Xenopus tropicalis: one gene and its partner. The protein of the gene in region 2 binds, or shares a complex with, the protein of the main gene of each other region. Links are inferred from orthologs where the notes say so. Each region holds a gene or a part of one and is shown on either strand. Other genes may lie near its edges.

Region 1 (4,454 bases), on a different chromosome or scaffold from region 2:
GATCCACCACAAATATTAGCATCCTAATTCATGAAATCTGCAGGCAAAGCAAAAGCGAATGGCGACATGGTACTGCTATTTGCTGTTCAAGGAACAGTAACACCAAAAAAATGAATGTGTTTTAAAGTAATTAAAATATAATGTACTGTTTCCCTGCACTAGTATCACTAATCTGTTTTCTTCAGAAAGACTGCTCTAGTTTATATAGACAAGTTGCTGTGTATCAATGGAGGCAATTGAAATAGGGATAAATGGCATGGGGTAACAGTTAGGCAATGTAGAACACCTTTATATGCTAGAGAGCTTATATGCTATCTGCTATGTAAGCTAAGCCTTTTCTCCTTTGAATGGCTGCCCCATGGCTACACAGCAGCTTATTTATATATTAATATAACTATAGTAGCTTTCCTGAAGCAAACACACCAGACTTACCAGTGCAGGACAACAGCACATTATATTTTAAGTACTTTAATTTAGTGTTACTCTTCCTTTAATGTTTCAACAAATGCTACTGGGACAGAAAAGTTGTGTAAAATTCCAGTCTACATTACCAACTTCTAGTTTCCCCTCGGCATGATGCGATTTTAGTTTACAGCAGCAGGAGGACGCTCTCCTAATTTAAATTAATAGACTGTATGACTGCTTTGTGCTGCTCTCACCTTATTAACCTGGGTCACCACGGCATCTACCACCTCACCCTTGAAAGGACGGAAGACAATGGCCTTGTACTTGACGGGATAAAGCACAAACCCTCTCCCTGGCTGAATCACCCCAGCACCAATGTTATCGATTGTGGTCACTGCAATCACAAAACCATACCTGTGAAGAGACGAAAAGGAACATTAAAAATGCATTTATGAAACACGCAGAGTTTCACTATCACTGTGGCCCCCCTGCCTTCCCACAGCCCCTCATTGCAGACCAGTGCTACAGCTCCTTTCCCAAATGGCTCAGTCATTGGCATCAGGCTTGGATGTCAGACCAAAGTCCTGATAGGTGTAGGATAAATGTAATAATGCCCCCGAACTGTCAGAGTCTGGCCCACCCTTTAAGTGCAACATCAACTACTGAGACATTGTGGAAAAAGCTGTGTTAGAGAACAACACAGGCCCATAAAGGGGTTCTGCATGGTGGCAGGCGAAAACAAGTTTGCAGGGAGACAACAGATAATTTATGGGGCTAATAGCGCCACTCAGCAGTACAATGGCACTAATGTGCAGGAGAAAACATACAACTGTTCTAGTGCATATAAATACAGTGTATACATGCAAAACTACTTACATACATATGTACTTACTTGCCAGTACATGTTCCCTCTACCTCAGTGAAGAGTTTCTGTTTGACAGTGTTGAGAAGGTTAGGGCCAAAATATCTAGGGTGCAGAAGAATTTCATGTTCCAATGAGATCTGAGGATTAAAAAAAAAACAAGAAGAAAATGGCATCACATGACTGTGGCCTAACTGGCTGATATAGACACTGATCGGACCATTCCAATGTTGTCCTCTTCGATATCAATTGCTATTAGCTAATTACCAATAGCTATTACTAATAATCCACTAGCTACACCAAAACTTTAGTACTTTAGTGACTATATTATAGTCTGGCCCTCGAGCATGTACTATAGTGAACTGGCCAACTACAGGAAAACAGTTTGACTTATAATATCCCTATATTTTAGAATAGGGGGTACTTAAAAGGGCTGTGGAGTTGGTAGATAAATTCTCCGACTCCGACTCCTCAGTTTCTGATACTTCCGACTCCGACTCCTCTGTTTTTAATATGCTAATGTATTTTATACATTCATTGAAGGAAAGGAAGGAGACATACATGTCATTTAACTACAGAACTACTGGCTCTGCATTGGGCTTTATTCTTATAGCAGAGAAGTAATTAATTATGACTGTTTGTGAATTGGGACATTTAAACTTGCTTTATTTTAATTTTTTTTATTCCCATTTAAATTTAGTAGGAGTCGGTTCATTTCTTGCCGACTCCGACTCCAGGTACCCAAAATTGCCTCCGACTCCTCGACTCCGATTTCACAGCCCTGGTACTTAATTCACTATATAATACACAAAAGCCATGAATATCCTGTAAGTTATATCCTTATAACTGGTGCTTAGTGATGTTATTTCCGTCACACGACTCACACGTGTATTATAATAAATAGAAGGATATTAGAAGTCACCCAGGAGTTCCATCACTCTGCCTTTGGCCTCTTGCTTTAATATGGTCAAGGAAGTCCTAGGTGACTTATAATAGCCTTATATTTTACAACAGGGGGTACTTTAGTCACTACATTATAGTCTGGCCTTCGAGAATGTACTATAGTGAACTGGCCAAGCACATAAAACAGTTTGCTCTATGGTCCAAAAAGGCATATAAGGAGGATCCAGGAGGCCAGGCCAGTGCCTCAGGAACATACAACAGCTGTACCCGACCTAGTAACCCGCAGGTAAAGGGCTTCACAGAAAACAAGCAACACTTACAAAATGATGCAATAAGTCACATAGGATTCTGTACACTTACATAAACACTTACCGCCTGTGATAATTCATGCCCAAAGCAATAAAACAGACACTGGACTTACATGGTAGAACATTCCGTGGCCCCGCAGTCACTTTCTTTGCTGCACGATGTACCCAATATGCTCTATTCCGGGAACAATAAAGCTCGTTTAAAAGGCGGCGCGATTGTATGTCCCCGCTTGTTGGCGTCACACAACAGGAAATGACGTGAGGCAGCGATGTGTGGCAGAACCGGCTCGGCTCCGGGTAATCCGAGGATTCGGTGTGTAATGTAGTGTACTGTAATGTAGAGAATCGAGAGGAACCGAGCTGCGGAACTGAACACCCACCTAGAGGCTACCGGGGATCCCGCTGTCTAGTACGTTGCGCATTGGCTACAACCACTGTCCACAACCAACTCTACAGGCCAACCAGAGCATTGGGGACGGGCCGGAGAGAAAGTGACCAATAGGCTGGCGGCAAGGGCGTGGTTTTCGTGATTTGCTTTGTGCAGGTAAAGAGGATGTCTGGATCACGTGACCGAAAATGAAATGCTGTATTTTAGTTGAAATGTTGACATTGTGAAGCTGATGTCGCAGTGTGTATATAATATACCCTATTGCTATTGACATTTCTTTTAATTAACCAAGAGAGGACTGAGGCTGGAGGTGAAGTAGTTTGCCTGTATCTGAAACAGAGGTGGGAACAACTATTGTATTTTTAACTTCTATTTATTAAGTGGACAGATAAATTTAATATCATTTGTCATCATCTACAATACTCCATTATTGCAAATATTACAGATATGACTTGCATAATTTGAAAGACTAGAGTGTTTGACTGCTTGCTCTGTAAATGTAATGCTGTTTTTCTCTCTTTACTGTTTCAGTCATGGAGTTTCCAGATCACAGTCGCCGTATCCTGCACAGTTTACGTGACCAGCAGTTGCAAGGTTTTCTGTGCGATTGCCAAGTGATAGTTGGTACTGCCCACTTTCTGGCTCACCGCTCTGTCCTGGCCTCTTGCAGCCCCTTTTTTCACATGTCATGCAGGGAGCATCCAGATACACGGGACCTCACCCTAAATAGCCAGATTGTTACAGCACCAGCATTTTCTCTGCTTCTTAATTTTATGTACTGTGGCCGACTCAGCTTCCAGGAGGCACCAGCTGAGGATGTTCTGGCAGCCGCCAGCTACCTTCACATGGATGAGGTTGTTAGGGTCTGCAAAAAGAGGTTGCAGGGCCGAGCACCAGCAGAAGCAGACAGCACACGACGAGAAGAGGAGAGTTCCACGGCCTACCATTTAGCAGAAAGTGAAGATGTAAAGATGGGACAACACGGTATGGAGTGTGGGCAGAGTGGAACAAGGAATCTGAGATGCCAAGGTGAAGAAGCAGAAGGAAGTGAGCAGAAAGTACCAGGAAATGTAGTGTTCCAGATGCAGGAAGGAGCAGGGAGTTCTAGGTTCCACAGACAAGAGGCTGTAGGGACAGGACAGAGAGTGGCAGGGAGTTTAAGTTATCAGGCCCAAGAGCTGTCAGGAAATGGGCAGAGAATAGCAGTGAGTTCCAGGACGGAGTCATTTACAATGGTAGAAGGTGGACAAGAAGTGGCAGGAAGTTCTGGGTTTGATATACAGGAGGGAACAGGCAGTGGACATTCAGTTGTAGGTAGTGCAAGAGGCCATGGGCAGCAATTAACAGTAAGTCATCAGGAGGTGGCAGGGACCTCAAGGTTTGAGGTACAAAAAAGAACAGAGAATGAGCAGCCAGTCCCAGAGAGTATAAAATATCAACAGCAGGATGCTCCACAAAGTACAGTCACACCACCCACTCACAGATATCCTACAGAAAACCAGGATACTTGTGCCAATGCACAGGCAGCACCCTCTAGAAACTCTCCAAAGAGGCAAGAACCAGCAGGAAGCACACAGGGCCCGATGGG
Region 2 (4,155 bases):
GGAATTACCTGACAACCTATATTTTAGTGTTTCTGTTCCAGTGTTGGTTAAGCATTCACAGTAGTGTGAGATATATACACAATGTGCTCTGGTCTGGTAAGGGCCCTGTCACACTGGGAGCTTCATGGTCTGGCTGCTTTATATGCATCATTTACATCTAATGAACAGGGGCCGGTATTATTGGGCCGAGATGGGAGAGGAGATTTGCTACTAGTAAGTTAAGCACCCTGGCGTCATAGCCTCTACCAACAGTAAGCAAGTATCAGCAAGTCTTGCCATTGTCCAGAGAAACTGTAATAATGATTTCTAACACAAGATTTGTGGATACTGGAATGAGGCAAACTTTGCCAATCTTTCTACTTAAACCCAGAATATTTCAGAAAAGAGAATTGTATTTTTAGCTTATCTAAAATTCACAAAGGTCCAGTTAGTGCAAAATCTAATCACTACTGTCCCTATTCCTGTAACCAAATCTGCCACCTGAGGAGCTGCAGATCTTCATGGACTGAGCTGCAATTGCTTAAAACACTAATGGCTGGAAGAACAGGACTTTGCTCAAGTCTGACATTACAGGGACTACTGGAACTGAAAACAGTAGCAAAGTCATAATTAGTTAGGACACCTGCCATGTGTTACTAAGAAAAGCAGTAGCCTGAAGAATCATAACAGTAATGACAAAAACTATAAGTAGGAAAAAGCTGAATTGGGCAAACAGTTTCCATAATAGTGCTGAAAGAGGAAAAAATAGTTAAAATTTCCAAGGAACCTTAAAAAAAAGAAAAAAAGAGGGGATTTTCAGCATTTCTGTAATGTACAGAGCCTTTATTGGAGTATGTTAAAACACACACTGTTTAATGATGTCATTCTGACTTTGCACATTTTTTATATATTCTGGGCATACATAAAAATAGAAAATTCAGGACAAACACAAAGCAGCACAAGCTGTTATATATCTAAAGTGTGAATGTCTTCAATCTGTATTATATTACAACTGTTATATGTTTTACATGGTCACTTATTTGCAAACCTGTAATAGGTGAAAATCAGTTTGGCTGGTGAACATTCTCAGCATCCTCAGACAGCCTCTCTGAGAGTAACACAAAAATGCCTGTTCTGAACACTCACATGTCACTGTCTGGCTGTCATCAGATCACTTGCTAAGTGGTACAGATTTAGCAGTCTGTGAAGGTTGGAAGCACTCTTTCTGTGCCTCTCACACCTGATGAGCAATCTCTTGTATCTTCTGTAGCATCTCTTCAGACTGCAATTGCTCAAGTGTAAGAAGTGACAGTCCCAGCTGGTCCTCCTAAAAAAGAAAAGCATAAAATGGTAAGTTTTTTGCAAGATGAAATACAGTGGTCAATGATATGGCAGAGGATGCTAATCCAGTTACTCCTTGAAGTGAAAAAGCAATCAGTGTTTTAAATTTATACCACAAATATCCTGTGAGCTATAACCTTATATGGTGTTTAGTGATGTCATTTGTGTCACATGACTCACTGAAACTTTTATATTAAAACTAATAATGTACTCCCTATTCTAAAATATGAGAATATCAGAAAGCACTTTGGAGTTCCATAACCTGTATGAAACACTTGTGCTTTTAATTAGTCATGGAACGTCTCAATTAAATAACCAAAAATTGTGTTTATATTCAGTAAGAAATAATAGATTACACACATTTCCAGATTTATGGCTCTACAGAGAGCAATCTTTCTGTTTTACTAATGATCACTTTCATCTCTTAAGGTCCCCATACACGGGCCGATAGTAGCTGCCGATATCGGTCCCTTGGATGGTGTATGGGGACCTTTACTCCCATGGTTGATCTAGTCAGTACCAAAAACCTATCAATTTTCCACATTTAACAATGATCAATTTCCTTTTTCAGATAATTATCTCTTTAGCTTGCACACTCCCCCTCAGCCAAAAAATTCTGATCCGTAACTCGTATTGTTGACATAACTGCTTTTTTATGCTCTGCCTTACCGCCTTCAATGCTTACTCTGAAACAGAAGCAATTGGCAATTAACATAAATCTATTTCATGCAGCCCTGCTGCAACCACTCCACAAATGTGCCCAGAACCACCAGCCCTGGCTAAATCCGCAGACATGATTCCCGCAAGTGGACTTCCTCCATTATAAATGTCCCAACTCTGCCCTCTCCAAGGCCAAGCAAGATTCCATAGTACACTCATAAATAATAAATCAAATTCACAATGATTGTTTTCCCATATTTAGCTCCCTGCCTCTCTCTTACTGCAAGCCTCTAAGCTCTTTCTCAAATTACTAACTTTCTCTGCACTTATAATCTGCTTGACCCTATGCAGCCTGGTGTTCAACCTGCACACGCCACTGAGATGGTTTCAGCTTAGTGTGGGGTGCCCTATTGCTCCATACTCAACCCTCTGTTGCTCTCCTTGTACATTTTTTAGAAAACCTTATCTCTTTGGCCTTTTATATTGCTTATATGCAAATATCATCCAAATATACATAGACACCCCCTCACTATTCACTGACATTCAGACCCAGATCTCTAACTGCCTACTAGCAATTTCTTTCTTGATAAACCAATACCATGCAAACTGAACCTAGCTAAAACAGAGTTCATGATCTTTTTACCCAAACCTGGCTTTTCTTCTTTTACCATTACTACCGATGGCATGACCATTGACCCTGTTGATTTGGCATGCTTCCTGGGGATTATCTTTGACCAGCCCCTCTCCTTCTTAACATATTTATGCCAATGCAAAAAACGAAGATTTCAACCAAAGTATTGAAAAGCTACACCCATTTCTTTCACAAGTAACAGCTCAAACACTAATCTATGCCTTTATCCCATCACACTTAAGGTGGCCATACACAGGCTGATTTCAGCTGTCGATGTCGGTCCTTCAGATCAACTCAGCAGCTTATCTGTCTGTGTATGGGCACCACCGACGGGCCTTCCTGACCAATGTCTGGACTGAAACTGGACAGATACAGATCACGCAGATTTGATTTTTCCATCAGATTGGGGACCGCATCAGCACGTTAGCCCATAGGTGGGCATATCAGGTGGATATTACAGTGTATATCCACCTTTAGACTACTGCAACCTCCTACTACCCACCTCTCACCCCTGCAGCTAGAATCCTCTTGTCATCTCCTAAGAGGCAACATGTTCACCCCCTAGTAAAATATCTATCATGGCTGCCTGTTAATCAAAGAATACCATACAAATTAATTTTACTAACATTCAGAATCCTTCAGTCCTCTGCTCCTCACTACAAATCCCTTACTTGTCTGCCTGTTCATCTTTGGCTGCCTCCTCCTTTTTCTCTTAGAGTCACTGTCCTTTCACATAATCCACACCCACTGCCATCTTTCATTATAAATCTTACTATTTTGCTGCTCCTTACCTCTGGAATTCTATCCCTGAATTCCTCTGTAGGGAATTCTCACTCAACCCCTTCAAAAAGAAAGAAACTCAAATCCTATCTTTTGGAGCACTAGAACATTACCAGCTAAGTCTTGGAACTTAAAGATCTGTGCCCAAATCTTTGTGCACTTTGCCCTCCTATTTTATGCCTGTAAGTTACCCACCCACTCCTATCACATGGCACTTAATTACTTTCCACTTATGTTTATTCATTGTAACATTGTCTTCCGAGTGTGTACTTTTCTATACTGTAAAAATATACTAGTAGCGCTTTATAAATAAAGTCATTCATATATACATGCTTATATTACCTCAGCACTCTGCAACCTATCTAATGATAAATGAATACTGTGCAAAATAGGGCAAATTACATGATGCAGATCATACAGCCAAAGCATTTTTTTATGCTGGGTATGGACAAATACACATAACACTGCAAAAGAAAGAATTAAATCTTAAGTTGGTCAGAGGAACAGTCTTACCCTGCGGAATGGTTGAGCCATTTGTCTTAGGAAGTGTCGGGCTAGATGTACACTTTCATCCAGTGTAAGATTTAAGTTTGCATCTGTAAGGTGTTCTTGAATCCAGAGTGGCAGCTTTCCTCTCTTATCAGAACGTGCATACCGCTGTAACAGTAAAGCAGGTATGGGAGCAAGAGTCAAAGAGAATCAGCATTAGTAAAATAAGGACAATAAGAAACAGCAGCTACTAAAAGCTGGGAGAGAGTGAGGTA

What was found.
Region 1: ercc2 (region 2) and polr2g share a complex: the UniProt entries of both Homo sapiens proteins name them as parts of the TBP-based Pol II pre-initiation complex. The link is inferred for Xenopus tropicalis from reciprocal best matches to the Homo sapiens genes ERCC2 and POLR2G.

What each region holds. Positions count from the first base shown.
Region 1 is NC_030680.2:34,586,572-34,591,025, forward strand, and holds the start of polr2g (DNA-directed RNA polymerase II subunit RPB7), read right to left. Parts: upstream 2,872-4,454; 5' UTR 2,604-2,871; coding exon 2,592-2,603; intron 1,408-2,591; coding exon 1,298-1,407; intron 820-1,297; coding exon 660-819; intron 1-659. Other genes in the region: zbtb3 (zinc finger and BTB domain-containing protein 3), read left to right, coding at 3,400-4,454. UniProt on the Homo sapiens protein: Core component of RNA polymerase II (Pol II), a DNA-dependent RNA polymerase which synthesizes mRNA precursors and many functional non-coding RNAs using the four ribonucleoside triphosphates as substrates.
Region 2 is NC_030684.2:70,786,264-70,790,418, reverse strand, and holds the end of ercc2 (TFIIH basal transcription factor complex helicase XPD subunit), read right to left. Parts: intron 4,049-4,155; coding exon 3,905-4,048; intron 1,307-3,904; coding exon 1,214-1,306; 3' UTR 793-1,213; downstream 1-792. UniProt on the Homo sapiens protein: ATP-dependent 5'-3' DNA helicase. Component of the general transcription and DNA repair factor IIH (TFIIH) core complex, not absolutely essential for minimal transcription in vitro.